4 linked regions of the Struthio camelus genome follow. The protein of the gene in region 1 purifies or fractionates together with the protein of each later gene. This does not show direct contact. Links are inferred from orthologs where the notes say so. Each region holds a gene or a part of one and is shown in the gene's direction. Other genes may lie near its edges. The genes, in order: CAPZB, CNOT6, CNOT2 and CNOT11.

What was found.
Region 2: the proteins of CAPZB (region 1) and CNOT6 purify together in Homo sapiens (co-immunoprecipitation; 3 studies listed by BioGRID and IntAct, with this or other methods). This does not show direct contact. The link is inferred for Struthio camelus from reciprocal best matches to the Homo sapiens genes CAPZB and CNOT6.
Region 3: the proteins of CAPZB (region 1) and CNOT2 purify together in Homo sapiens (co-immunoprecipitation; 4 studies listed by BioGRID and IntAct, with this or other methods). This does not show direct contact. The link is inferred for Struthio camelus from reciprocal best matches to the Homo sapiens genes CAPZB and CNOT2.
Region 4: the proteins of CAPZB (region 1) and CNOT11 purify together in Homo sapiens (co-immunoprecipitation; 3 studies listed by BioGRID and IntAct, with this or other methods). This does not show direct contact. The link is inferred for Struthio camelus from reciprocal best matches to the Homo sapiens genes CAPZB and CNOT11.

What each region holds. Positions count from the first base shown.
Region 1 is NC_090962.1:12,918,931-12,926,904, forward strand, and holds the start of CAPZB (F-actin-capping protein subunit beta), read left to right. Parts: upstream 1-4,966; 5' UTR 4,967-5,134; coding exon 5,135-5,137; intron 5,138-7,974. UniProt on the Homo sapiens protein: F-actin-capping proteins bind in a Ca(2+)-independent manner to the fast growing ends of actin filaments (barbed end) thereby blocking the exchange of subunits at these ends.
Region 2 is NC_090954.1:6,505,554-6,513,333, forward strand, and holds the start of CNOT6 (CCR4-NOT transcription complex subunit 6), read left to right. Parts: upstream 1-4,779; 5' UTR 4,780-4,813; coding exon 4,814-4,859; intron 4,860-6,234; exon of another isoform or gene 6,235-6,923; intron 6,924-7,780. UniProt on the Homo sapiens protein: Poly(A) nuclease with 3'-5' RNase activity.
Region 3 is NC_090942.1:41,015,904-41,022,916, forward strand, and holds the start of CNOT2 (CCR4-NOT transcription complex subunit 2), read left to right. Parts: upstream 1-3,995; 5' UTR 3,996-4,134; intron 4,135-7,013. UniProt on the Homo sapiens protein: Component of the CCR4-NOT complex which is one of the major cellular mRNA deadenylases and is linked to various cellular processes including bulk mRNA degradation, miRNA-mediated repression, translational repression during translational initiation and general transcription regulation.
Region 4 is NC_090942.1:152,289,803-152,297,478, forward strand, and holds the start of CNOT11 (CCR4-NOT transcription complex subunit 11), read left to right. Parts: upstream 1-4,674; 5' UTR 4,675-4,688; coding exon 4,689-5,130; intron 5,131-5,986; coding exon 5,987-6,151; intron 6,152-7,676. UniProt on the Homo sapiens protein: Component of the CCR4-NOT complex which is one of the major cellular mRNA deadenylases and is linked to various cellular processes including bulk mRNA degradation, miRNA-mediated repression, translational repression during translational initiation and general transcription regulation.

The sequences.
Region 1 (7,974 bases):
CAGTCTGACCTAAGAAAATCCCTAGCTGTCCTTTTCATTAAATAGAAAAATTAATATTCAGGAAAGCCTGACAAGTTTTCTCTAGGAGCTAATTTCTAAGCACCTATGTTCTCGTAAGTATTTTTGGTCCTGGCTGAACACTGGAATAAACAAAATAAATAGCATTTCACCCTGCATGCAACACATGCAGGGGGATGAAATAAAAAGCATATCGTGTCAGACTGCAAATGCTTTATGAAGTTCTGGCTTAATGTGAAAAGTACTCGGTAATGCTAATAAAAAGTATTTATCCTTTTGCTTCCTTGAATATAATCAAATATACAGGGAAAGCATATGTATTTTATAGTTGCTGACTGCAAGATCAAAAGCTCTGTTATTAATTGCACATGAATCTGATGCTGTAGGGCTGTTAAGCCGTCAACTGACATCATTGTTTGCTTCCTTTGTTTACAGACCCTCATTTCACAGATGTATAATGCCTGACACTAAGCCCTTCCAGCACGCTCTTTTCTCTTTAGGTGGATGATCCCGTGTCATGATATGTGGGGAAATGCCTGTAAGCTGACTAGATCCAATGGAGCTGAGCTCTTGAAATCGCTCTGGAAGCGGTGGTGCAGGTCCCCTACCCCTGTTCGGCTCTCTAGAGGCTGGGAACACCAACACCTTTATGAGCCTCCCGCAGAGCACCCTGAGGCACGGATCAGAGGATGTTTTTGTTTTCCTGTGTGTTTTCCGGTTTCCTAGCAATGTGCCCCAGTAAGGACTAATCTATATGCCGCTGTATTGTAGCGAGTCCTCTTAACTCCAGAAAATATGAAGAACAAGCAGCTGAACTCTCAGAAATAATTCTCATCCCTAGTTTTCAAAATGCTGTATGAAATACAGCTGCATATAGGAGAACTCCGCTCTCTGGGCTCTGAACCTGCTGCTCAGCTGTAGGCTTGCGAGGTAACTTAGCTTTGTGACCCACTCCAGCAATTTCAGTGTTGGGATCTTCTTTTGCCTTGAAACCTGTGCAGAGTTTTTACAGCGCTGCAAAATGGATGGAAGTTGTTACTGCTCTCATTGAAAGGCAATGTGTGCTTGTTCGCCATAACAGCTATTCCAAGCGTAGGGCTATGCAGAGGCTGGGCCCCTTCTTGAGCCACTCTCCAGGCTTGAAGCTCCTGTTGCTAACAATATTTATCAGTCTTCTCTCATTTCCTATCCTGCCTTATGGTTGCTCCACAGATGGCCTCTTCAGCTGCCTTTGTAATGCATCTTTTGCGGTTTTATTGAAAATCTTATGGCTAAAGTCCATCTCTGCATTTTCTTCCCTTTTTTTTGCCTTCAGATTTCACTCACTTTGTCACAGCATCAAATCAGAATCAGACTTTTCCTCGAGCAGAGGTTTTTCAGTAACTCTGCTTCTTCCACCTGTCTTGTGGCTTTCACAGTTGTCTGGCTGTTAAAATAGGGCTGGATAAAACTTATTTCAGTTTCTGTTGTTAAAGCAAACAAACATACACACAAAACCTAGCAAAGCAGCCCTAACCCTCAAGTTATCCCAACTGAATTTACTTATGTGAAGAAAAAGCCTGCCCTGAGCAAAATAAATAGTACTGCTGCTGTCCTTATGCCAATCTAGTGCCTTTCACCTGTGCTTCTTAAAATCAATGTGCCAATTATGTTGCCGTTCCTGCTAAAGGGATTATTTTCCTTAGAGTCTGGAGTAGATTAAAGAAAAAAAAGAATACAGCATCATATACAAGGGTCATCCTACTTAGCCCTGAACTACCACCACCTCTGGAGAGGAACATAGCTAACAATGCAGTTAATAACACCGTCTCGCGACATTCACAGGTTTCTTGCATGTCTCCCACATATAGACCTGCACTGGCTTTATTTAGCTGTCAGCCCCTCCAAGAATCACAACAGAAGGTAGGATGGCTACAACCGTAGTTACAGCTGCAGAACCCTCTGCCTACTCAGACGCAGTCCGCGCTGCAAATTGCAGCCTACAAGGAAGGGTCTGGTCCTACATCTTAGTAAACAAACAAATAAAAAAAAATTCCCTTAAGCATGTCCTGCTATAAACAAGCAAAGCAAGCAGCTGGTCCTCATTTGAAAAGATGTTCCATTAATTTCAAAAGGAATCTGCAGATCTTCTTAATGCAAATATTTTTGGGAAAACAAAAAGCAGCTGTTTATTCTTCTTTATACCTATTAGCAGAAAAACGAAATCCAGAGTGCTTGTATTTCTTCCGCTAAGAAAAACATCCTCTTGGCCTCAACGTTCATTTGGATCTCAAATTGTTTAAACTACACCAGGCTGCATGATTCTTGCTCTCTTTCTTCAGCAAGAAGCTAGAAACAATTGTTGTTTCTAAGCATAAGAGCTGCTAAACTAAAAGCACAGTGATCATTGCATGCCTTATGTGAGTTTTGTGGCAAAAATCATGAGGTTTAGAACACTCATTTTCAAGTTTATATTAATGCTATCCTCCCAAGGCCCTGCCCCTGCACGTAAGATGTGTGGACCCCTGTATAACAAATGACTAATTTGTTATGTGCACAGAGCAGGCTTGCTTTTCTTAATTACTACTCATAGGCACCTCTGAGGGAACATACGGACTGAAGGATCTGGGGACTGCATAAGAGAAGCCACTTCAGATTACTGCATGTTTTAATTGGCCTCAAAGAGGCTAGGCCAACTGGTGTTGGTGAAGAAGCAGATTCAAAGAATCAAGAGCAGGAAATGCCTTCTGAGGTTATGCGGCCTATCTGCTAGGCAGGGGAAGACTGTTTCCCATTTCATGGTGTATTTGATAGTGGCTTACCGATGAATTTATGTCCCTTTGTTTTTCTGTGAAGTAATGCAGCTCCTGCTTTTCTCGAGAGATTATTTTTACTAATTGCTATCCTCTACTTGCTAGATTCATTTTGTTTCTGCACTGAGAAGAGCAGAACCAGAGGCGCGGGAGAAAAGCAGCAGTGGGCAAAGGTGAACTTAAATCAGTGGCAGCACATTGTCAGAGAGTAATCAAACTATAAAATCAAAACTTAAGACATATAGTTTGCATGAACAGTGACAGCCATTATGTGTGCATGTGGGTCGTGTCAATTTACCTACGTAACGGTTATGCCCTTAAACTAGATGATAGCTCATGCTAGCTTTCATAACTGAGTACGCATACCTCAACAGTTAACTTCTCCGGAAATTTAGCCGGACGCTTTCACCACAACAAAAACAACAAAGCTGTTTTGCCCTGAGTATGCGTCAAGTAAAACGAGCATTGTTAGAGTTTTTACTTCTTGGAAGGTCTGGTCTGGGATCTAATAGTTAAAACATTTAAGAGCTGAGCCATGAACAACTGTGATATGTTAGTGCAAAATCAGGACTTGGCCTTGGGTCATCCCCTGCCAGAAGGATGTACCACTAAATATTACATCCAAGGGAAAAATGAAGGGGTCCCCTTAAGACTACATAATTTCTATTAAAATTTCAATGCAGGAATTGCACACGCTGTCAGAGTTTCACACCCGCTCCAGGAGGATTACATCAGCGCAGGAAGCGGCGCGCGAGTCCCCTTGTCAGCAGTTCCAGTTTCCACAGCAAAAGTAAATGGAACAACAAAAGGGGCTTTGGCTCGCAAGGGCCAAGTCTGCAACGCAGCAGCCAGAAGGCACCAGTGGAGGGTTCTCAGGATGCTGGCGCTCCAGCTCTGCTGCAACCCGGGCCAAATAATTGTTCAAAAAAAAAAAAAACCCCTAGAGGAAACCGTTGCCACGTAATATATCAGCTCTTCTCCTGGGGTAACTAGTTAAGTTGCATTTGTTAACTTCACGTGTCCAAAATAATTTAGAAGGACACGTACAGAGTCTGCAATCAGGATGAGTTTTACCCAAGGTGGTTGAAAAGTGAATTAGTAGATTAGGAGGGAAAAAAACCCAATGTTGTCCTTTTGGGACAGTCTGAGAGAAGCAAAACATGTTTTATTTGTATATACACCCCGATTTGCTGATTTTTATCTCTCATTTGGCGATCTGCATCTCAGCTGCTTAAGCCTTGAAGTCATCAAAATATGTCTCTGCTTAACTCGAAGCACGTACCTACATGCTTTGCTGAATCAAAGGGTAAGCTTCCAGAGGAGGCTGAACGCTTGCCATTGCAATTAATTAACCTTGTCCTTAAGTAGCCAGAGGCTGATTTTTTTTTTCTCCTCGCAACTCACGCTACAGAGCTCAACAGTTAAGAGATGACTCTATTTTAGGCCACACAAGCAATGACGCTTATCAGGGTTACCTCTGCAAGGGCTGCTTGTCAGCTGCTTGGCGATTGGAGGAAGTGTACCTGCTCAGGCTGGCGTTTTCCATGCTAAATGTGGGCCTCGTGCTGCCTTTTTTCGTCTAATCTCAAATTAAAATCTTAAAAAACAAAAAAATCTAATCTAAAAATCTGAAAAAAGGAAGGGAAAAAAGGCAATAAAGCAGAAGGAAAAAATGAAAAAGGAATAAAGGGAAAAAGGGGAAGGAGAAGAAGGGAGAAAAAGGGAAAAAAAGGGGAAAAAAGGGGAAAAGGAGGGAAAGGGGGGGGGGGTGCAGAGGCGGACGCGGTGCTTGGCGGGGGGCCCTGCCCTGAGCGCGCCCGCGGGCTGTTGGCGCGCCCGCCGCAGGCCCCGCCCCCGAGCCCGCCCCCCGCCTCCGATTGGCCGCCCGGCCGTGCTCCCCCCCTATACCTGAGTTGGTAGCTCCCGCCGCCCCCCTCCCTCCTCCGGCCCGCCGCGCTGCTTCCCCCCCCCCCACCCCCGCCTCCCCTCGGTCCCTGCGCCCGCCGTCTCCCGCCTCGGCCTCGCTCCTCCCCGCTCAGCTTGTTCCCTCCTTCCTTCCCCCCTCCCCCCCGCGGAGGAATGGTTCCCTCCCTCCCCCGCCCCGCTGGCCCGCCGCGCTCCATACTTGGCGATGGCCGGCGAGCCGCGCGCTGATTGGCGGCGGGGCGCGGCGGGGCGGGGCGGGGCGGCGCTGACCCGGATGTTCACGCCTAAGTCCACGGCGGAAGTGACGGGCCGCGGCCTGCCTCGGAGGGAGAGCGGAAGCGACCGGGAGGCGCCGCCGCCGCCGTTGCCACAGCCCAGCGCAGCCCCGCCGAGCCGCCATGGTAAGGGCGAGGCGGCCGCCGCGGGGCCCCTTCCCCGGCGTTGCGGGGGGGGGGCTGGAGCCCCGGGGCGGCGGCGGCGGCGGCCCGCTCCGGGGAAGGCCGGTGGCGCGGGGGCGAGCGGCGGCCGTTAGGCGCGCGCGGCGGCCGTTAGGCGCGCGCGGAGGGGGAGGGGGGGGGAACCGCCGGTTCCCTCAGCGCCGTGAGGCCCCTGCCGGGACCCGCTGCCTTGCCGTCGGGCCCGGTCGAAGAGGGCCGTAGCCGGCCTCGGCAGCTGAGCGGGTCGGCTGGGGCGAAGCGGAGCCGGGCCGGGCCCTGGTGCTCGGCCGGCCCAGCCCGCGGGCGCGCAGGTTTGCTCGGAGTTACCGGCGTGTGTCCTTAATCCCGCTCGAGAACTTGCGGTTTGAGTTGTTGAACCTGGCGGCTTAGGAGTGTTCACCTGTCGTCAGATAAAAGGGGAAGAAAACCCCACTGCCCGGCTGCGTAGCAACGTGGAGACTGGTTAAGTAGGCGAGTATGCTCCTTTCCTGCTGATCTTTGGCCTTGAGAATTTCAGAGGCCATGACTTATTTATCTTCCAAGTTGGCGATGGTGATGATCCTGCCACCCGCATTATACAGGGTAAAATTTTCAGTCTCTCGTGAATGGTGAAGTGCGCCCGAGATCAAGGCTCTGCTATTCTGTTTTCGTTTGAACACGGGAGATGCTGGACCTGACCTGACCTCCGAGTGCGGAGGGTGATGGTGCTGAACACGTTGTTTCAGTTGTACGTAAAAGAAGATTCTTGACTACAATCTTCTAGATACGCAAGACGTGACTGTAGACTTTGAAATCAGGACTCTGACAAACCGTCCAAACTTTGGCTCTGGTAGAAGCCCTCATGGAGGGAAGAAAATTCAGGGAAAGCTAGTAGGCCTCGCATAGAGTGAAAGTGATGGCAAACAAGTTGTCCTCTTGAGGGGATATGAAGGCATTCTGTGAGAAGAAGAAGAATGCTACAGTTTGGATAAGAAGAATCTAGTTTGGGTTTAAGTGTAACTGTATCAGTTCTTTGGGGAGGCGGAGTACAAACCCTTTAGAAATTTTATGAGAACTGTAAGCTCGTATGCTGTCACCTGATTTTTCATGCTTAATAATGGAGAATGCTGGGTGTGGGAGAGATTTGATCAGGACTTTCAGCAGTATGTGCTTGTCTCAGTTGTTGAGTGGCCCTTGAGTATGAACGCGCTGCAGCCACTTCATTGTTCATATATCACAGTTGCTCTTTGCAGATTTGAAGACTCACTTAAAAGATGTAGTAATTTAAATGTGGTTTATTTGTCTCTAGTAGAAGCATATAAGACGAATCACTGATCACATTCGAAAAGGACAAATGATCCAAATTTAGTGTATGTTGTTAGTGGAAGCGCAGACTGAGGTTTCAAAGCTAATGTTCGTAATGTGTAACTGAAAATCTTCTAAAACTTTATAGACTCCATACAATTAACTCACATTATGCAGATAATGCAATTATACCATGTAGTACGTAGAATACTTCCAGTATCTTTATTTTTAAAGGGTATGAAAGCGCAGTCCTGAAATGCAGCACTGACATTCTGAAACGTCCCTGGCATTGAAGGCAATAGCATGTTTCATAGCAGCTGGGAGTTGTTATGGCCCAGGATATTTGGTCAAACACCTTCTTGGTACCGTGGGATTTCCGATATCTGCATGGAACAGATGGACGGGAGCCACTTCTCTTTTGCACAGTCACTCAAAAGCATCTTAAATCTGAATTGTTCTTGCTGAGTTTAAATGTAATTTCAGAAGTGCGTCAGAATTTCAGTCAGCTGCTAGGTGGAATGGGGCAGGGCAATGCGTGAAGCCTGAAATCTGTCTAGATAGATGTTGGTCTTTTGTGCTAAAAATAAGCTAGCTGGTGGACACGACTTCAGAAGGTGGAGCCGCTGAGGTTTCTGGAATTGTGGGTTACCAATGGATAAAACCCAGTCACTGTCCATGTAAATGAGGGGAGAGGGGAAAAAAAAGTCAGGGCAGTTTACATGGCCTGGAAATGATTGTGCTTATGTATTTCTTGTGCTATCCACCTCCATAGTAAAAAGCAGGCAATCTCAGTAAAATTTATAATTCAATCAACCGGAAGTTTGAATTGTCTAGTGTAGCGCTGGCTGCACATCATCCGCTTAGAATTTGCGAGGCAGCTAAAAGGCATTGAAGCACAGCCAGCGATGCATGATGTGACGCTGCCACTCAGGTACTTAATCTTGGTGTGCTGTTCAGAGTAATTAATATTTTCAAGGTAGGGGCTGTTTGTCTTGGGCAAATGCATTGCTGCTTGATAAATAACTTGGGTTTGTACAACTGCTAGTAAAACAGTATTAAATGACTTGTAAAACTGAACAGCCAAAGGTAGTACTTTTCCAGATGCCTGAACACTGAGCGCCTCTCTCTCCTGCTAAGCTAATCATGTCACTTTTGAAACCGTAGCATATAGCATAAGAGCTCGGGGTAGGTTTTCAGCGCCCACAGAAAGTCCTTTGCACCTTGTGCTTTTGGAGAAATACTGACTTAAGCTGTTTTGTAGAGTCCATGTTTTGTTAGCCAAGCCAAGCATGTGAGCTTAGCTAAATGTTATCTTAAAAGGCAAATTCCCAAAGTAATCAAGTTGAAGGATATCATTGGGATAGGGAATACTGGCATTGCAGTGATGCTTAATCTTGTGGTTTATTAGCGAAGGAAAAACGTTCTCAAGCTCAAGTTGTTCAAACAGGATTTCCTCATTTGGTAAATACATATGCTGATATCTTACTAGTTGACATCTGGGAGTAAAACAAAATGAA
Region 2 (7,780 bases), on another chromosome or scaffold:
ATGGTTAACAATTCCAAGTCAGCTTCGTAAATGTGTTCAGATGTTAACAGTTGATTGGGATGAGTAAGAACCATGGGATTTTTTAGATCTATTGCTTTACTACTGCAGTATAACCCAAATGGACACACTAGAAAATGTTAACGACTAAATGTTCCTCTAGTCCTGCAAGCTTAAGGAAGAGAATAAGATTCAACATGCATTTTAAACTGCTATAGTCCTGATAATGAATCAAATATCTAAGTAATTATACCAGTCATTTAAACACAGTATACAAATATCTTGGGTGGTGGTAGAGCTCAGCATTAGTATCCCTAACTGACAAAAAGGAGTTAGAAATCCCTCTCTTATTACGGATGTCTTAATATTAAAAGCAGATATTTCTAGAAAGAAATAGCTGAAAGCTTTTTGTCATGTTCAATTTCTTCTTAAGTATTTAGGCAACTTTTGTATAAATACAAACATATGTAATAAAGTAATGCTAGGGTTGCAAAGCTAAGTACCTACAAACTATGGCATCCCAGGATTCAAATTCTTTAATTCAGCTCTACTGTGAATATGCGTAAGGGCAGTTTTCAATTATCTTTTCACACACAAGTCTTCTGGAAGCCGCCTCACTCCATTCTGTCCAGAGGAAACCAGGAATATTAATCTCCTCAATGCTTTTTGTATGGGGCTTTCCTATACTTTTAATGCTCAATAAACATCAAAGATTAATCTTTACCATCCCACTATGACAACAGATGCTATTATGTTCACTTGATAAATGGAGAACAGGCCATAAAACTAAAGGCTGAAATCATGAAGCGTGCAGTGATTCTAGATGTCCGATGTGAGCGCCCCAAGACCTAATTTTTCAGAGTATCTGTGTTTGCAGCAACGTCCCATGTCCAGAGCAGTGATCCCACTGATCTCCACTGCCTTGGAAGCTTCTCTGCAAGTCAGACCCTGGTCTCTCTACCTGGATATACTGAAAATGTAGAAGATCAGGCTTTAAGTGATCTCTGCCCTCCTGTCTGGGATCCCTCACCTGCTTCATTCACTCCCTTCCTTCCTCCTCATTATCCATCCTGCTTCACTGCAATGCTGCTCTCTTTCTTCTCTGCTCCATTTCTCATCCCCGTACATTGCAGTTACTCTGCTCCTCTGTCTTCACATTTCCCAGACACAAAGTGGGAGTGCAGCCAGCACAGAAAGTCTCCTTGTTCACCTCTTCCGTAACCAAAACCGTAAGAGCTTTCCCAAGCCAGGACAGCTCTGAGCTTGTTTTCTTTCAGGATGGGGAGATGCCTCCTGCGTTCGCTCATCCCATATGAGTCACAAAGGATGAAGGACTCTGTCTTTTACTTCAAAGAATTTAGAAGTCAAGCAAGTCTTTACTGAGTCAAGCAAGTCTGTATTTCAAATGATTCTAACTTTACCAAATTTGGCCATTTAAACAAGGGCAAAAGCAAAACGTACCATAACTCTGCCACAAAGGCAATTCTTTACCACAAGTTTCACATCCCTCTGTCAATGCATAGAGGCAATAGGTTCTCAAAACAGCTGTAATTATTTGCAACGTGGACAATTACCTTCCCCACCCCCCTCTCCTCCACACTCCCCAGCTCCTACCTTGAATAAATGCATGAGGAGGGAAGATGACAGAGAGAGTGGGCTGCTAGCAGTTTTTGAGCTAGGTCACAGCAAATGCTTATAGCTCCAGGTGTAAGATCAGAAAGACTGTAGGACATACACCTTTGTCTAGTGGGACACTTGCTTGTGTGCCACAAGCTAGGTTTGGCCTAAAGGCGGCCGCTCAAAGACTCCCATTCCACAGCACAAACATGTATTTATGTACTATTTAATTTATGAATGAAAACTTAAGCTCAGACTATTTTGAATTTAACTTTTCTGCACTCATTTGACTCTCTTTAACAACAGTACTGGCCTGAGCTCAGGACAAGCACGCTCCATGTGACACTGCAGCTCCTGAGATGTATGGAAACTCTCACGGGCAGGTAAAAGATTAATGGGAATGGCTCTCTTTTGATTGATGAATCTGTGACCTTGAGCAACAAGAGCGCTTGCATAAAGTATATCTGCCATGTGAGACAGACAAAATGAAAGAGGCTCGTATTACACTCTCAGATCTCATTAAGCACCCAGACCAGAAACACTAATACTGGCACTAGCCATCTGCTGCAGTGTTTGCCTGGTTACAGTTCTGATGACACTTAACGTGAAGCAAAAGTTAATTGTATGCACAGATGAGCAACAGTGCTTCTGCACAGGAAATTCACTGTAGCATAACGGTTTCTAAAAAAACCACATGCGTGTTTTTACTTCATTCTGTTTTTTTTTCAAATCACATAATCAAATTGACTGTTCAAACAAAACTTATTGACATAAAAGGCCATAACTTTAGACTCTTCAAATATTGCTGCTTTTTTATAAATAACCTCTAAAGTTACCAGAAAGTCAATTTGCCCAATTGCTGTGATCACCTGTTGATTTATATAATAGACAATACTACAGAATTATTTTGTGAGCGCTCTTAAATGATTTCCTCTGATGCTCTCTTTTTTGCTTATCTCAATTACTTGAGAATTACTAGTATTTTCTGCCATTTGGTCTCCATTTGCAATGATGAAGGCCCTTGCCGGTAGACCTTTCCAAGTCTACTGTAATATTATCCCAGTACCCATCCCCAAGGAATGAATTTTCCCTGCAAATTTTGAAAGACTTACGATCAGCTGAGTGTTCTTTGTTGAGAAGCAATTCCTGGAAAATTCTGCAATGCATTCAAAGACTTTACTACTGCTTTTGGAGAATTAACTCTAGGCAAAATGATATAGTCGATTGAGGCCATATCTGACCTAGAAAGTATTAACTGAAGAATGTGGGTGACAGCTGGTTATCAGAAATAAAACATATATAGTAAAAGAGAATGACACATAGAGCTACTTGAGCTAGCTCTAAACGACTGTCAGCTCTACAGGAGCCAGCTTCAGCCCTGGAAGCAGATCCAGCACTTCTGCCAGAACAGGCGCTACGTCCAGTAACGGAGCCAGCTCAGATGTCTTCAAAACCCTACTGCATCATGCAGCATGGAGACATTTCAACATCCGAGAATTTCAGATACGTGACCTGAGCAGGCTGGGCAGAAATCTGAGGTATAGCATGTTATTTAAAGCACCAAGGGAGTAAACTTTTCAGCTGCGTCCATTTTATGACCACGCCTGGTACACCGCGTGGGGTCATTCTTTGCAAAGTGCTTCTTTTGCTGGCCATTGTCGGTGCTGCGCAGGAGCAAGATGAGGTAGTCTCCATTTTTCAACTAGATTAGAAGAGAATGGCCTGTTCCACAACTATGTAAGTGCCGTTTATTTTCACTTACATACCCAGTTATACCTAAACAGATGAAGCTTCAGTTCTTTTTAGCCTTCCTATTTCAGAAATAGGTTGCATTTCTGTGATAACGTTTTTTGCTTACTATCCCTCTTGACTAGATGGGGCACGTTGAGCGCGCTAGCAATTTTCTGTCTCAACATCGCTTGGACGTTTTAACTTTATGATAATCAAGGGAAATCCACTCCATTTTGAGACCATTATTTGCAATTTTGGCCAATGCTACCCCACTGATTTTTTGATTTCACTGATTCTTTGTTCCCCACATCTCTTACCTTCGCATCTCTTGTCTTACGGTAAAATCTTTTGGCACAGTGGCGGTAATAACAACACCTAACAACAACGTCCTTTATTTTTCCAAATATCTCGGTATACCTCCACTAACTGGTTCAAACACGAAATTAAGGAGACCTAACCTGCATTTCACACAGGGTGCCGATGGTGACTCTGGTTGCCATTTTACCGTAAACATCGCCCATGCAAACGTCAGCAGCAAACGATCCAGGGCACTATTTTGTTATTGAAGACACTCACATATAAAAGACATCGCCCTTCATAAAAAGCACATTTTGTCTGAGCACGCATACTGCACGTTCGGGTTCTTAGTGATTCTTATCTACACGCAGAGGAATTTGAAGTTGTTAAAATACACGATTATTTTAATTAGGCTTCCTGGACTTGCGCTAGAAGCTGTTTCACTGCTTTACACCCTTCACACCGGCCTAATATTTGAAACATAGAGGAAACGTTCCTCTCCCGCCTCCCCCGGCCCGGCGCGGGCCCGCGCGGAGGGCGCCTCTGCGGGGCCAGACACGCTTCCCCCCCCCCCAGCACCCCCGTTTCTGCCCGGATCTCCCCCAAACGCGGCTGCGGCCACCCCCGCTGCTGGTTTCCCCCCACCCTCCATTTGCCAGCCCGCCCGGTCTCCCCGCCGCCGGGGCTCCAACGCCGACTCCGCCATCTCGCTCCCCCCCGCCGCGGCCCGGGCCCTGCGCGGCGGCGCCGGCGGCGGCGGCGGGGCCCGGCGCGGCCAATGGCGCGGGCTGTGGGCGGCGGCGGCGGCGGGCGGGGCGGAGGGAGGCAGGGCCGGAGGAGGCAGGGCCGGCCCGCCCGCCGCCGCCGCCGCCGCTACCGCCACCACCACAACCACCACCAGCAGCAGCACCGCCATGATGCTTGTTTGCTTTCAATGAGTGCGAGGAGGAGGCGGGGGGGGGCTGCTCTGCCGTCCGGCCCGCGGCAGGAAACAAAGAGCCAGGCAGGCGGCGGAGAGAGGGCGGCGGGGCGACGGGGATGCTGCAGCCACAGGTAGGGGCCGCCCCCGCGGCCTCGGGGCGGGGGGCGCTGTGGCGGGGAGGAGTATTAATGCCGGGCCGGGGGGCGGGGGGGGGCACGGCCGCTGGTGGGGGAAGGGAGGAGCGCTGTTATGGCGAGCGGGGAGCGCTGCCCGGCGGGGGCTGCCGGGGGTGGAGGTAGGGCGGGGGTTGGACCTCCTCGGAGTTTGGAGGGGGCGGTGGGAGTTAGTTGGTAGGGGGAGGTTCCCCCCCCACCCCCACCACCGGGCTGAGGGGGGTGTCAGCGCCGTGGGCCGGGGCCGTTGCGGCCGCGCAGGCCCCTCCCGGCGCGGCGCTGGGGGAAGGGGCCGCGGGCCCGGCGGGGGTGCGGCGCGGCGCTGGGGGAAGGGGCTGCGCGGCCGCGGGCGGCGCTGGCGGCAGCGCGCTGCCTCCGCCGGGGGCGGCTGCTGCTGCCGCCGCGGGCAGGGCCGGGCCGGGCCCCCGTGCGGGGCGGGGGGTCCCGCCGCCAACCGGCGGTGGCGGGCAGGTAAACACCGATGTGGCGGGTGAGCGTGCAGGGCGCAGGGGAAGCGGGGAAGCTGCCGGGCGTATCGGCCCGGGGAAGGCAATTAAGAGGAATTAGCCTAATGACATCTGGAAGCGTGAAGTTTTGTTTTTTTTTTTTAAACTGTGCAGTTGAGTTTAAAATAATTAAACAAAGACAGGGAGAAAGGTGTGTGTTGGGGGGGGGGGGGAATGACATCAATGTGACAATCGCCCGTCTGCGCTCCGAGCGCAGTTTCCCCCTTCCCGAGAGGGACCGATGGGTCTCAGCCGCGGCGGTGCCCGGCGCTGCTCGGGGCGCGGCTGGGGCCGGCGCTGGCTGGCGGCGGCGGGCAGCGGCCTAGCTGGCGGCGGGGAGGCCGGAGCGGCCCTGGCAGCGCTCGGCGAAGGGGAAGACGGCCGAGGTTGGGGGGGGGGGGGCGTGACGGACGGCGCGGCCGGCCAATGAGGGCAGGCGGGGGGCGGGACTTGCGCGGCCACGTGAGGCCGGGGGACAGACGCATGCAGGGGTAAACAGAGGGGAATTGGGACAGCGGCCCCAAAAGGGGCTTGTTTGTCCGCGGCGCCGCGGGAAGGGGGGCGTCCGCTGGCAGCCGTGGGAGGTATCCAAACGCGTCGGGCTGCAGCGCTCTTGAAGAGGCCATTATTCTTTAATTGAGCTAATTAGGGGAGGAATTTTTACTGCGTTCGTTAGTCCCCGTGCACCTGTCCGGCAGTCTAAAAAAATCTGAGCTGAATGTGAGGCTTTTTGTGCTGCCTGCGCTCTCGGAGCGTGAAGCAATGCGGTAGGAGTTCCCGGGGTCCCTCTGCCGGGGCTGCCTTCCCCCCCTTTACCCTGTCATAGAAAATGTTAAGTCTGGGGCCATACAAGACTTTTAAAAACTGCATTTCTGTGCCTCTGTGTTGCAGACACGGTTCACCAGGAGCTTTTCCACGAATGTTAAAGAGTCATACAAAGCTTACTTTGCTTTTTGCAGTGTAAGAAATGCATTCAGAGCAGACACAGTAAAACAGGGTTGTATTTTTTTAATAAACATCTGTATTTCTGCAGATGCACAAAGAATTGCATTACTGGAAATATAAGCGCATAGGCAGGCGTTTGCTTTGCGACTAGCAAGTCTTCTGGGTTTGGGTTCTTTTTTTTTTTTTTTTTGAGGGTTATTTTCTCAGTCTAGATTTTGCCACGATGGGTAACTAATTCAAAATACAAGGGATTCAGAAATAGCTGTGGCATTTGTCTGGCTTAAATATGAGGATATACAAGTGTTGACTGGTAATTGTTTTGTATCTTGCACTTTTTTTTTTTCTTCATTCTAGAGCAGGTCTCGTAATTGGGAATTTATCAACATTTCCACTGGGGTAATTTTACAGGATTATCCACCCTCTGTTCTTCCTGCTGGTTCATCTGGACTCTGTGGAGTTTGCTGCTAGCAAAGAAGCCTTCTGTGGGGGTTTATTCATGCTATTACTGAAATGGAGCCCTTCACGTTTGGATTAACTCTTTATTCACTTTGCACCTGAATCGCTTGGATCGGTCCATTTTATTAAAAGGATACTACCATGCATCTCTTTTCTGTTTGCATATTGAAGTTGAACTCTGAGCGCAGTCTTGATGTGTTCAGGCTGTTTACTGTGCTTGAATTTTAGAGGAAGAACTGAAATATAAAGATAGATGAGACTGTAATACTGCATGGGCAGGTAAATACTCTTGACGTTTTACATATGAAGACTTAAAAACATGTCACAAAGGGTCACAAATCGAATGAGTGTGGTACCCGTAGAAATAAAAAATGTTAAGGTCAGGCTGTTCTGGATATTAGGAAGACTTGCTCTTCTAAACAAGTGCAGTGTTCATAATGGAAGAGGCTATCCTTGAAAAGGGGTAGATGCTCCCAAGGGTGAACAAACTAAAAATTCTTTCCCAACTCAACAACAAAAGCATCCCTTTTATAAAGCATGGCAGCGAAAATAAAAATGGGCTGTATTCTATCAGTAGGAATGCCAAAAAGCTAAGTGTTTTTGTTTGTAGTGCAATGTAGCTTATTATATGGATTACCAGCGTGCCTAGGAGGCCAGGTGGTGAACCTGAATTCCTCGTTCCGGTTGCGTAGCCCCTGCTGCAGAGGCTGTAGGCCTACTTCTTCTGTTTACCAGCAGACTATTGAAATTCAAATTTTTCTCTTGTTCTGTCATGTAATTGTGGCTGAACGTGTGTGTATGTGCAGTTTGTAACACACCGTCCCTGGTCCAAAGGGGGCTAATTTAAGTGAAGGGTGTACCTAGACGGTATTTTCATGAATGAAATATACTTTTAGTCTTTAGAATCTAGTTGCATATTTTACAAGAATTGATAGTTAACCCGATATTACTTTTGCTAGGAGAAATGTACAGTGCCCAGAGGTAATAATTATGTATGAGCTTGGAAAAGTAACACAGACCTTAAAATCCCAGAAGAGCAATCTCTGCAGACCCTACATTTCGTTTCTAGTCCTAGCTACACGAGAGAGAGGTTGACTCTTGCCCTGTGGCATACAATGTGCCTTGGTTTTTTTTAT
Region 3 (7,013 bases), on another chromosome or scaffold:
GTAAAAATATATCTGAGACTATACTATATATCCGAGACTGAATATATCTGAGACAGAAGACACCTCCCCTCCTGTTCCCAGTATTCCCTCCTGGAAACTACAAATCCAGCAGATGAGAGGCCATCTGTGTGGATACCTTGTACTGCATTTTAACAGTAAAACACTAATGGAGCTGCACTTCCAGGGTTTCCCTTGCCAGTAGCCATCCCTGGAAATCCCCTGTAGGAGTGAAAGGATAGATGAGGACAGTGCCATGGAAACAGTTGAGCCTTTCCTTACCTTATCTAAATAAACTAGAAACTGCAGACTAACTTGCAAAAGTCAGCCTAACTATGCAAATCCTCCTCCCAAATCAAAGTATTTAGCGCTCCACTTCAGTGGAATAAATAAGAACTACGAGACACTACAGTGAGAAAATGAGGGGCCTTATTGTCTGCGCTCTTGAAAAAACAAACTCATCTTTGTGGTGAGATCTTGAATAACAGATTTGGCATAACATATGCTTTGACTTATCTTTATCCTGTGTTTTAGAAATATTCTAAAATCAAATAGGCTGTATTTATGAAAAAATCTACGTTCTTCTGAGGCAAAGATCAGTGCATAATAGTCAACAGGTGAGCACCCTACAGTCGTGCTCCAAAGACAGCAAATGGACAGTTTTGAAAATCATGCAGCAAGAAAGGTATCTGTGAGAAGCTGCTGCTCCCAGTTCACGGCGGGTCTTACACAGTTCCAAATTCTGTAGAAACCAGAAACCTCTGCCTTTTTTGGAGGCAACATTTTACTGTTTTAGCTAATCAAAGGCAGCTTGCAACTGAGGGGCAAAATCTTCTGGCTCCATCTGAGTTTCTTCTAATGCACTAACGTCAATTTGTGGAAGAGAAATATGGCCTATTTCATCACCATTGAAAAGCTGCTAATCCTTGCTCTAGGCAATTGCACTATTTGTTTTTCTTAAGGAATACTGAGGCAATCTATAGGTTGAAGAAGGAAAGACCCTTGTTGCTCTCCAATGCACTTCTTTGTTCTAATTAAAATGAATTACAAGACCAGCTATTCATCAGATTCTGCCTCCACTCATGATCTAGGATGGTGGTCTTATTATCAGGAATTTAATTTTACATTTTGGCAAGGTAGATGGAACTTCCTAACCGTGCGTGCCTCATATATACTCTGGGCAATTTGTCTTCCTCCTGCTTCTGCGACTGCGTAGTCCACATCTCTCAGTGCCACTTTGAATGGAGCCAGCTAGCATACAGAGGCTTTCTGGAGCAGGTACTAAGAAAAACTGCACAGAATTTCCAGTGATCTCACAGAGTCGCGATAACAAAGCATTTAGGGCTTCTGAGCACATCCCTCCCTCTTGTTGCCACCTTCCCAAGTTTTTTCAGGCTGCCAGTGCTCCACCCAACTGCTGTAGGCTTTTAGCTCTCTGTGGGTATCAGCATAAGCAACAGTCAGTTGGGAATACTAATGGCTAGATGAGTTTCATGGCTGCATCAAAATATGCACATTAAGGCCCCAGCCTTTCATGTAGAAAACTATGCTTTTGACTTCATCAGAACCCCATTAATACTTGACTGCATGGGCCTGCACATGCAATGAGCTGCAAGACAGGTTTTCTGTAGCTGCTGCCATCACACATTGTTCCTTCATCTGTGCTGCTGTATACAGGTTTGCAATAGGTAGTCTAACATTGATGAAAAAATTGATGCTTATCAGCCTAGTTGGTGAAATAAGTCCAAAAAAAAAAAAAAGGGAGACCTTTAATTAAATGGAATTGAAAATAAAAAATGCGTATTGGTTTGCAGACAAAGATTTGCCCAAGGAGGTCAAACTGAATATACAAGGGTCAGGTTCAAAATGGATTAGGAGCGTCCACACACAATTAGTAGCCATTTAATTAAATGAGCTCAGAACACCTCTTCAATTATGCAGGTGCCACTACGCAAAACAGGCCTCACCATTGTAGAAAAATGTATTCAGCCAATAGTAAAAGTAGCAAATGTAGGCAACACATTCCTCACAACTCAGTCTATTTATCAACCTGAGATTATTTTCAACCACTAAAATGCTAACAACTTTCACTTTCTTTAAGAAAACAAATGAGGAAGTCACATAAACACATAGTATAGTCACAGTGACAGCGTTCCACAACGAAACACACAATTTCACGGAGAAAGGCAGGTTAGATTTTTTAACTGACAGAATTTAAATCACAATTTACACAGGTTGCGATTGCTGCTTACGCTATCATATTAGGCTAAGACAATGAAAACACACTTTTTTGCATTCCCTGGCTCTGTTGAACTATATAGCCTTGCATGAATGTTAACTGACCTGCATGTGAACTGTAACTTGGTAATGGATACAGAGATCAGTCCACGCAGATGCAACGAAAACATCAGATGTTTAGTTTACTTGCATCATATTGTACTGGACATTGTAAAGTCTTAAATGATGTCTCTCTTTTGGGGAACAGAATGAAATTTAGAAAAAGAAACTCAGTTGAAGCATAAAAAGAAACATAATGGAGTAAAACTTTTACAAAAGGGATGTGCAATGGTCAGCAAGGCAGTAAGAAAAGCTTATTAAATAAGAGCAAGGATTAATGAGATTCATTATTGTCTTCAGTTTGAAAGCATAGCCTTACTGTCTGTAACGTGATATGAAGAAATATTTTTTAGATTGAACAACAAAAGTACTCCCAAATCTCATAGATATTCTAGTTAAAACAGGATGTCACTTCTGGGCTTTTATAATGGTTAGTTTATAGCAAATATACAGGTATTTGAGATACAAAGGAAAGGTTCCAAAATAAGGATAATAAAATAGAATATTTTCCTGGGTGAAGTGTATGAATATTTATTTCAATGACATGACACCTTGTAACTGTGCTCAGCAAAAAGTTGATGGCATTAATGAACCAGTTTCCTAGCTTGCAGAATGTGTTCTTTCAGCTTCAAAAATTGCTTATGTTGACAGATGTATTACTGTAGATATTAACATTTCTTTAAAACGTAGGTGTTGTGTAACCTACTGAACATACATATTTTTTTAAGTTCTGTTTGGAGACATTCATTATGAAGGTACCTGAGTGATGAAGAAAGCATGCCTATGAAGAGACTGGGGAAAAAAAAAAAACAAACCCTGTTCCTGATAAAGTATGTTCATTTTTTGGTTTGAATTTTCAAACTTTATGACGATTTCATAATGAAATTAATGCGGAAGGTTCCACTAACAGCTTTTCTTGATGGGGCAGAGAAGTCAGCTCACAACCGTAAAACACTCATGTACGGGCTTAGCTTCAGCACCGTTTACAGTCCCACTGAATTCAGGGGGATTATTTGCATTGGGAGTGTTTCGGGCATCCGCACGTGCCCTACTCGTAGCACCGACACACATACTTTCAGGGTGATAAATTAAAAAAAAAGAAAACAAAAGGACAAAATAACAGAGCAGTCCCATCTGGGCAACTTTTTTTCCCCATTTTAATATCTGGCCAAGCGCACAGGAGGGCCTGGCTGCCCGCCGCTACCTCAGCCACAGAAAAAAACCCCACCAGCTTGAGCAAAATTGGGCCCATCGGGAGGGCCGCTCCCGTCCTCGGCCCCCCTAGGCCGAGCCCCACGGCCCCGAGCCACGGCGCGGCCGGGGAGCGGGGGGGGGGGGGGGGGGGCAGCCGGCGGCCGCCCCGCACGGTCCCCCGCGGCGCCGCCATGTCCCCAGCGGCACGGGGCGGCCTTCACAAAATGGGGGCCGGCGGGGCGCCGCGGCCTACTGCCCGCCGCGGGGCCCGGCGGCGGCGGCGGCGCGGTCCCAGCCGCTGGGCCGCGTCTCCCCCGGGAGGCGGAGGGAAGCGCCGCCGCCGCGTCTCTGCCTCCTCCTCCTCCTCCTCCTCCTCCTCCTGCTGCTGCCCCCGCCCGCCGCGGCCCCCGGCCGCACCCCGCGGGGCCGCCCCGCGCCGCCTCTCCCCGCCCCTCGCGCGCGTTGCCAGGCCGGGCGGCGGCGGCGGCGGCGGCGGGGTCACGGCGGCGGCGGCGGCCGGGTCAGAGGGTAAAGGTTGCTCCCCCAGCATCCTCCGAGTTGGGATACTCAGCCATCTTGGATTCGCGGGACAAGAAAATTCATGCGGTGAGTCCGGCCCGTTTCTGCCTTTCCCTCGGCCCCCTCGCCGCGCCGCCCGCCCGCCGCCGCCGCCGCCTGGCCCCCCGCCGCCGCCGCCGCCCGCTCGCCCGCCCGCGCCGGGGCCCCGCGGCTCCGCCGCCCGCGCCGGGGCCGCGCAGGCCCGCGGCCGCCCCGCCGGGTTTCCGTTTGCTTTTGTCTCCGAGGGGGAGCGGGGGGGACGCGCGGCGCCCGCCGAGGCAGCGCAGCCCGCCGGCCCGGCTCGGCCCGGCCCGCCGCCGCCGCTGCCGCTCGGGGCCCGCCGAGGCCGCGGCTCGGCAGCGGCGGCGGCGGCGTCCGGGCCCCGCGTACCGCCGGGCCCCGCGTCTCCTGCGGCCGGCACCGCGGCCCGGGACGGCTCCCGGCCGCCGGCAGAGCCCCTCGGCCCGGCCCGGGCCTAGCCGCGGCCGCCGGCGCCCCGCCGAGCCCGCCCCGGCGTTGCGGTGCCCCCGGCGCCGCCTCCGCCGCCCCCGGCCGCGGCGCTGCGGGCGCCCACGGGCCGCGCTGCCGGGGCGCCGCTGCCGGGCGGCGCCGCTCGCCGGAGTGGCCTTGCGGCCTGCTCCCTCGGTGCCCCGGGGAGGCCCCGGCTGAGGAAAGGGGGTGAGGCGGGGATACTTCTTCCTTGTTTTCTTTCAAAAAATGTGCTTTTTAAAAAAAATTTTGTATACATTTTTATAAATATATATATATATATATTTGTGCGTGCACCCGTTTCACTCTCCTCCTGGCGGCGGTTAAGGCGATGTGTAAGGAGGCTCCGGTGTTTCCTCAACCGTGTCTGTAAAACAAACTTGGAGCGAACTGGTCCGCTGTGCCGAGCGCGGATGCTGCCGTGCTGTGCGCGGTGGTGCCTCGGTCCGGGCGCCCTGGCGTGAACCTGGCCCGGGGGCAGCGCGCAGGAGCGGCGGGCTGCGGTGGGAGAGCCCCGTTGGCGGGGAGGAGTGCGAGGCGCAGTGTTTACCCTGTCGTATATGTGTGTGCGTGTGTGTGCGCGCTTCTGACTGGAACTCTGATTTGCTTGCAAATATCACGGGTTTAGAATTTATGTTTTTTAATCACGTTACAGGTAGCTTTGTTTCAGGGAGGGTTGTAACATGACAAAACGACAACCTGCTTGTGTTGGTTGTGGCTCAGCAGCTTCCGCTTTCTCACAAGGCTGTGTTGGGAAAAACTCGTTTCTGACTTTGCGCTATTTTATCCCTATGGGAAGATGGAAACTTTATATGTGCGTATGTGTGTGCAGCTTGAGCGTGTGAAGGAAGCACTTGCGTTGGCCTGCGCAGCAGTAACATCTGGTGCTGGTGACTGGCCACTGGACTTAACTCCAGCTGGGGGGAAGCAGTTTAAGATGATCAAACCTGCTGTCACATCAGTTAGGAAAAATCTTTTTATTTCTGGAAACTGGGGTATTTTTCAAACTCCTAAAACGTGCAAAGGCCTGTAAAAGCAAGATAATTTTGTAGGTTCACATTGCAAAGATATCTTTACTTGGACCTAGAAGAACTGCTGTGTGTACATTGGTGTTCTTCAAGTTCTTTCATAATCGCATGTTAATAGAACACAGCTTGCAAAATCCAGTTTTGTGATCTTAAAGACTATGTATGTGTCCAGTACCTTTTTTTATTTTTTTTACTGCCACTATTGTTTATGCTGAGAATTCAGCTGACATGATAAACTTGAAGGTGTCAACTGCTTCAGATCTTAGGAAGGGATTTGAATACTTCATATCGTGAGCTGAGTGACTTGACTTGCAAGTGTATTTCCGTTTCACTTTCAGGAAGCTGATGATAAAGCTAAGAGAGCTTTAGTAGATAAACCTTGTCTACACGTCTCTTCTAGAAAGTTAATATTGTTGTCAAAGGAGCTGTTGTTAGAACTGATGCATGCACGGGTAGCCCCAGTAACAACTAATGAAAGCAAAAGCCCTTGGCTAAGAACTAAAAACAAAAATCCTAGAATTTGTGAAATTTAACTTGTATTTTCTTTAAATGAGTCTAATTTTAGATGATTGGTACTCAGTGGAAGAAATGGGGTAGTTAACATGTCCAAGTTTGATACTAAAAACTGGTGCCACAACTAGCTGTTTACACCTGAAAGTGTTGGTCTTTACCTTTGCCCGTTAATGAAAGTTGTGTATACCTGTAATGGAATGGTAGCTCTGATAAAGTGTTTGTGTTGTATTTGCCGAATTTCTAAATGAATTTCTGTCTAGACAGGAATTAGTTTTGAAATTAGAAAATTCGTTGCTTTTGTAGCCTCTACTGTGTTTTTATTTTTTAATTTATTTCTTGTGTTGGTGCAAGGGCCTGTCTTTTCTGAAGTTGCAAGATTGTAACTTCATTATAGTTTAAAAACAACCTTGGATCATAGCTCTATATATTTAAAAACATCTCGTACCTCCTTGTTATTATTGACTCAAGAGGTGCATGTAACTAAAAATACACCGTAATTTAGTTAAAATAGAGGTTTCTTGCACACCACTTTCTGACTTGATCTAGAAACTGTAGAGAAACATTCAATAGCTTTTGTTTTGTTATGAGGTAGTATAGAAAATGCAGCTCAGCTTCTGAGTGCAAATTTTTAACTTTTTTCAGATTTTTTCTGCTTGTAAAGCTATAGCATACTTGAATACAGATTTTAAAAGGCACTGTAAAGGATGTATTCTTAAAAAAAACTCAAATCATTGGCAAAATACTTGTCATATTTGTTGTGTTTATTTCTAAACGTTAGCTTAGAAGGGCTCTATGCCAGTTTGTATAGAGGTACAGTACCATATTCAGTCAAAAAACTTTTTGTCACAAATTTAGATGTTTGCTCTCTAAATGATAAAGGATAGTCTGTTCCTTTAT
Region 4 (7,676 bases), on another chromosome or scaffold:
TCTTCCGTGGAATATAAACCCACTGAAATAGCTGGCGTCCCAAATCTCCCCCTTGAGAGTAATGTGGTGCCTTTTAGAAGTCATATCTGGGCGAGAATTCATTCATTTGAGCCTCCGCTAGCATCACATTCTCTTGGTTCTTCCTTGCACAAGTTTCAAGCCTGAGAACATCAGCAGCAATACGCTCACAAAACGCGTATGCTCAATATGCTCACAAAACATAGCACCTTGTGCAGTTATGGAAACCCTCTTTTGTAGCACATTTACTATACTTCCCGTCCCAGTAGCATTTTACCCCCATCTTTTTCTTAGGCTAAGATTTTTGCTCCCGCAAAACGGACATCTGCTTTAAAAGTCATGAGGACTTCATTATCTACTTTGTCAACTGATGCTTGCTGCCCATCCCACTTCCTATAAAGTATTCCATCTTCTAAACTGTTAGCTTTCCTGCTCTGATCAGAAACCTTTTCATTTGGATAGAATAATTTAAGATGGCTTCATTAGCCACATATGAGTCACACAGGTTTTTTTGCTATCTCAGTCACCCGGGGAAACTTTTTATTGCTCTGAAGTCCATTTCTGCAAATCTACATCCATTACTCCAGTAAATATGCTATACAAGAGTGACTTACATTTCTGCAAATTATAGGAAGAAGCTTTCTCTTTCTAAACATGTTTGTTCCTCTTGCAACAAATCTTTTGCTCTGCTGTCTTCAGCAGAGTTTGTTATTAAGAAGTAGGCTGTACAAAAAAGACCATCTGGACAGAAGCACCACAGTTCTATTCAACTGTGAGACAGCATCCAGCAAAGTGTCCTTCAGCGTGAGCCACAGATATAGGCGTCATCATCCCTAACAACAAACTTCGTCCCAAAAATGAACAAAAAATGACTTTTGCTCGCACACCAAAGGCAGAAAATCTGGAGAGTCTGTGAATCCAAGAGATGAGCAAGATATAAAAAAACACTGAGGGGAAAAGGTTTTAAGAGAAAAGCCAAATTAATTCTTTGCATCTCTACATGAGATCTGGGAGACGTTCCCACACAAGAACCTTTACTGACGGGGTACAAGTCAAGAGAACTGTCTTACTCTGCAGTGTTAGTAAAAGAAGTGAACCTAATTGCCTAAAATGAGATATTATTTATCACCAGTGGCAGATGGGATTCACTCAAGAGATTTATACCAGCTGAAGGATGAAGATGATAACCTATGAACTGTGGGTGTACCTGCTGATCAAAATGGTCTCAGTATCAAAGAAAGAAGGGTGGCAAATGTCACATCAATCTTTAAAAAGGTCATGCAGATAATCCAACAAACTACAAACCACCAAGTCCAATTTCTGTACACATTGCAGGAAACTACAGCAATGAACAGAAACGTGCCCAGAGAGGTGAGACATTGAGGATTAACCTCCATGTGTGTACATAAAGGGACTGATGATGCACTCTTCCTGGGTACATGCTGCAGCTGCTCAAAGATTCCCAGTGAGACAAAATCATTCAGGATTGTCAAACTCATGGGAAACTACTGCAGGAGATTTTCATAATATTGAATGACTAAGTGGAATGGTGATGAAATCAAATATTTGATAAATGTAAAATACTGCAGCGAGGGTGGGGTGGAAAGGGAAGGAATCCTTCCCTTTTGTAGAGTTCAGTGCTACCCAGCCAGCTATTGCCGCTGAGGAAAGATAACCTGGAGTCATTGAAGACAGTTCTTTGATAGTGTCAGCTCAACCCTCACTGGTCAAAACAGCAAACAGCATACTAGGCATTACTGGAAAAGCAACAGAGAACAAAACAGGTCTCATTACATAAAGGTGTGTAAACCTACAGATCTACGGGACACTCACAGGTGGAACACTGGATGCAAGTTTGGTTCTCACTACTCAAAAAAAGGATATACCAGAAGTAGAAAAGCAGGATAGAAGGGCAATAAGGATGACAGAACTATGGAATAGATGCTACAGAAGAGGACATTAAACAAATGAGACATCTAGCCTAGAAAGAGAACACCTGAGGTAAGATAAGTAAGAGATGTACAGAATGATGAGTGACGAAGAGAGTGGAGAAGGAAGTACTGTTTTGGACAGAAGGGGTCTTAAATTGCCACGCTCATTGCCATAGGTTGGCGGTGTCACAGAGTTTTATGGATGAAATATAAACAGGCTCAAAAAACACGTAAGACAAGCTCATGAAAGAAAGTTCCATTTCACTAATCACAGTGATGAGGATTCAACCTTTGACTCAGGAAGTCTCTAAGCTGCAGATGGCCAGAAGCTGAGAGTACACAGGGGGAAGTGTCACTCTGTGCTTTCCCTGTTACACCCTTTCTTTAAGCTTCTACTAGCAGTCATGGAGAGGGCACTGAGCTCAATGAACGTTATGAACCTCACTGTTTTTGTGCACAATGATGGACGTTTCTAGCCACAGCTACTCATACAAGTCTCCTTCATTTAGTCCAGTACCTCCTATCAAGAAAACCTAGTTTTGCTGTAATAAGCTACCACTCTCCCAAGTCTTTTATATCCCTGTATCAAACCAGATTCCCTCGTCTGTATAGCTGTTTCAAAGAGAAAGAGGAACAGCCACTAGGGCCTCTTCCACTCTGCAGACCACTGAGATTGTTTCACCTCCCCAGTGAACAATGGTTCTTTAATCCCACAAAACCAAAAAATCTTTCCCCGACAAGAACAGAGTACTGCAGTAATTCCTCTATAGATGAGTGCTGGTGGGTCAGAGGGGAAGATAAAGTTGGTCTCTTCTGCATATCCTCAGTTTCTTTGTAAGCTGAAATGTCTCCTCAAAGACTGAGTGTTCAAGCCAGGTGCAGAAGTTCATCCTTTCCACCTATTTTTCCAGAAAGCCATCTGAGTTCTGAGGAACCTTCCTCTCCTAACTACCGAGCTTTCACATTATTTCAGTGGGGGTAATCAACCTCCTCTATGTATCACAAGTAAGGCAGAAAAGCTCTCCTACATGTCTAAACTTTCCCAGGTTTACGGTCCTGCTAGCCTCACCGTACACCTACATAGATGACTTCCTTCAGCAGTTTGCAGTCCTTTGATCTTCCTCCCAAATCTTACAATTTAAGTCCTTGCTGTAGCTGTTAGTAAGTTCCAAACTGCCCCAACTTCCAAGACTCCTTGTTTCCTAGAATATACTCTGGGCCAAGACAGCAAGTTCACCAGCCTCCTCTTCCATCTCCTTTACTCGTTTAGCCTGTGTATTTTGCAAGCAGATTTCTCACAGTGATCTAGTCAGTGAACAGGCACTATACCAACAAGGCTTTCAGAAGACCGTCTTCCACATGGCTAACATTCGTTCAACTATTATCAGCACTTCTTCAGGCTGTGCTTGGTCTGTCTGTGGGCTGCTGTCGATCTCAAGATGCAGTTCCACAGGGTAAGCTGATGAAATAGATCTTTCTCCCTTTCTTCCAGTCACACCCTACTGCAGCTCCACTGGCCTTCAGGTCTTGCAAGAAACCCTTCAGTGGATAGTTTCCAGTTGAATCAGCTCATGGAAGAAACAGATGAGCCCCAGCTCCAGGATCGCCTTTGGGCAGGACAAAAGTGGACAGCGAGAATAAGCACGTTTCAACAGCAGGAATTGGCAAGGTTGCCTTGGCTGTTCACTGACGCACGGCCCTGGCTTCTCTGTTCTTCTCTGTCACTCTTCCTCAGACACGCAACCTTTCACAACACATTTGTCCACGTGTCAGGCACGTGCCCTTGCTCCCACTCTGGGTTATGACATGAGAAGACATTTGGGCTGGAAGTTTCATCTGTTGTTTCAGAAAGCAACTCGGATGAGTCAGTGATCTTAACTGAAGGATATCATAAGAAAATGCAATCAATCACCTAATAGCTCTGCTGTTAAAAGCAGTTGTGATTGATTCTCCTCAGCCAAGAAAACAATGCTAAATCTACCTCTCAGCAGGGACAGGCAAAGATGGAGAGAGCTACAGATGCAGCTACAGGTCAACCATTTTGCTTCCTCCTGAACAGCACCTCATTTCTTCAGATCGCTGTATGACAGCCACCCTGCTGTGTGGGTTCTAGTCGCAGTTATCTCCCTGGAGGTCTGTCCAGCAGGCCACCAGGAAGCCGAGCAGCTCCCCATGCACCTTACACTGGGATTGTTGCTCTCCTCTAATTAAAAAAAAAAAAAAAAAAAAAGGGAAAGGAGGAAAACTAAGGGAAGGGAGAAAAACGCCCCCGCCCGCCCCGCACAGGCCCGCCGCCCCCGCGCACGCGCAGAGCGGCCCCCCCGCGGCTGGCTGCCGCCGGGCTCCCCCTGCCGGCCCGCCCCAACGGCCGCGCGCTGCCAGCCGCCGGCGCGCTCCGGCCCCACCCCCTCCCCGGCGCGGACCAATGGCAGCACGCGGAGCCGCGCAGCCAGGGCCAATCTCCCCGCCCCCTCTCCCCGCTTCGCGGCGCCGGCCAATCGCTTTCCACGGGGACGTGCAGGCGGCCAATCGCCGGGGTCGATCGCGCGCGCGTGTGGCGCCCTGTGCTCGCTCGCCTGCCCGCCCCGCGCCAAGCCGGAGTCTCCCTCCCGCCCTCCCGCTCCGTTGCGGCCCCGCACTGCCTTTACGGCAGCGCCGTAAAGCGGTGCCGGCACGGCGTTGCGGCCGCGGGGCGCAGCGGGGCCGGTGGCCGTTGCGCGGGGCGGGGCGGGGGCGCGGATGCCCGGTGGCGGCGGCGGCAGCAGTAGCCCGGCGCCCTGCACTCAGGTGGGAGCCGAGGAGCCCGGCGGCGCGGCGGGGGCGGGCGGCGGCCCGGCGGCGGCGGGCGGCAGGATGAGCCTGTCGCCGAAGGAGCTGTCGAGCCTGCTGAGCATCGTGTCGGAGGAGGCGGGCGGCAGCACCTTCGAGGGCCTCTCCAGCGCCTTCCACCACTACTTCGGCAAGGCCGAGCACTTCCGCCTCGGCTCCGTCCTCGTCCTGCTCCTGCAGCAGCCCGACCTGCTGCCCAGCCCCGCGCAGCGCCTCACCGCCCTCTACCTCCTCTGGGAGATGTACCGCACCGAGCCCCTGGCCGCCAACCCCTTCGCCGCCGTCTTCGCCCACCTCCTCAACCCCGCGCCCGAGCGCGGCGGCGACGAGGCCGAGCGCACGCCGCTCTCCGGTGCGTCCCGGGGAGTGGGGAGGAGCGGGGGGGGGGTGCTGGGCCGGGGGGCAGCGGCTGGTGCCCGGCCGCGCTGCTGGGGGGCAGCCCCCCCCCCCCCCCCGGCGGCGGGCTGAGGCGCTGGGAGCCGCCTGGCCGTTTGCCCTCCGTAGCGCTTCTCGAGGCTTTCGGAGAGCGGCAGGCGTTCCCGTCCGGGGGTGGCGGGGAGTGCAAAACGGTGGCGCTTTTTCATGGCTAAAGCGTTGCCGTGCCCGTGCGGCCTGGTCTGGCAGAGCTTGCTTGACTGGACCGTAAAACGGAGCTTTCGTGAGTAAGCTTTTACAAAAGTCGTGAAGGTAATAGGAGTTTCTCAACAGCTTCTTAAAAGCGGTGAAACAAACTTTGTAATGAAATACGTGGAACCCTATATGTGATACAGTTTCCCCCAGCAGTAAATACATGCATGACAGTGATGGGTAAATCACTTCCTAAATTTTTTCTTGGTTTACTTTCTGTATAAATGGCGGTGCATATCATGTCATGTTTTATAGCTCATTATTTATGTAAACTTATCTAAACTTACTTAGTCTAAACTTATGACTGACTTAGTGTTAGGTGTTGCATGTCAGCATGTTCTGCTTTTAGATTACTTTTGTGTTTAAGAACCAGTAGGTATAATGTTGAATTTTACCTTAGGAGCTGAGTAGATACAGGTTTTGTGTGTATTTACAAAGACTTTTCAGTTGCACTGATGTCAGCATAAATCATACAGTAGTTTGTGTTCTGTTTTTGTTTGCTGCTTCTCCGTGAAGACTATTGAAAGTACTAATGTGGCTGGCCTAACAGTCAGGGATTATTTTTCCTTGTGTCTTCATAGGCTTTTTACCTCCCATAACTCCTCCAGAAAAGTTCTTTCTGTCTCAACTGATGTTGGCCCCCCCAAGAGAGCTCTTCAAGAAGACTCCTCGGCAGATTGCTTCAATGGATGTAGGGAACATGGCCCAGTCAGTGGATATAAGCGGCCTTCAGCTAGCCTTAGCAGGTAAGGAAGAACCGCAGTGTGCCATGGTTCAATTAGAATTCAACTGTTAATTATAATTTGCCTGTGAGCTACTTGGGAAACATTCTTGCCTATCCTAAATATTAAAAAGGTTCAGCAGTGGTTTTGAGTAATAGGATAAAGCAATCTGTGCTTGAGGTTTCTACTTAAAAAAGCAATTTCCTACGCGCAGAAGTCCTCACTGCCTTAAAAATAAGATATTTTCACAAGTATAAAAGTATTTTCATCTAAAGCGTTGTTTCTTTTCTTTCCATGAATGTTTTCATCTCTTTTCACTCTCTGCAGTAGTTCTAGTATGAAAGAACATAGGATAACTGTCACATAGCAGTATTTCAGCTGCAGCTGGCAGATTGGCTATTACAATTGCATCTCCAGTTTTATGAAATAGTCAGATTTTCAAGTGTGAGCTCGAGACTGGGAGCACGGTCTGCTTTTGCTAGGTTGAAAAGAAAAGCAAAGTAATGCTTATCCTTTGACAGGAGAAAGGAGCATGATTGTTCTGATCGTTTCGTCTTCTGGACGTAATCTGAAATAGAAAATATTGTGGGGGACGAGGAGCCAGTCTAGACAGCAAAAATTAGTGGGTTTTTTTTTCCCCAGTTATGTGCAAATGGGTTTACTCACCTGAAAACTGATCCTCCTGGTTCTTTATCTATATAATGTGGTTCACCTCTCTGAATTATGCACTGACTAGGCTTTCTCAGTCCCACCGTTGTATTTTGATCTCATCGCTTTTTGCAGGATCAGTCACTGTTTTCTTATGCTCTGTTATACTGTCCCTTGTTTGCAGTGTATAAATCTTCTTTGGTGTTCTCCTCAGACATGATTTCCAGACTGCAGGATGTTTTGAAAATGCAACATTGAATACACTAACCTACCTTTGAGGGGTTGTCACAGTTGTATGGATGGGTACTCAATGCATTTTATTCTGCCCTTTTTTTAAAGTGCAAGACAGTGGCGTCTTTAAAAACAGTACAGTCATTAATGGTGCTTTTCAAAATGCAGCCCTGTAAGATGTGCTCGTATGTTTACTTAAGATAGTAAACATGCATAACTAGCTTTGTTATATAACTCTTGCAAAGACTCATAGCAATACTGTACTTCTGATAAAACGTTATGCTGCCTTTCTCATACTTCGAGCTGTAGCTTCCAAGAATAAATGTCTTCTTTCTATCCACTTTCTTAGAAGTTGACTCTTTTCGCTCTTATTTCAACATTGTCATGCTTCTTGACTGTCTACTTGTAATGTTTCAGAAATACTGAAGACTTCTGAAAAATTTACAGTGCGTTTCTCCTAATGATTCAAAATGCAAGATGAAGCTGTGCTGTTTATGCAGTGCAGACTTATTTCTGTTGCAACGCTTAAATACGATGTTTGAGGTGTTGGATTTGTCCCATTTTTCTCCATGTTTCCTGGAACGTAAAAGTTGTAAGGCTTCATGGCTCTGGAAAGTGGATTTTGTTGTTTGTTTGCTTATTTTTGTTTTTGATTTTTTGTCCCCGAAAT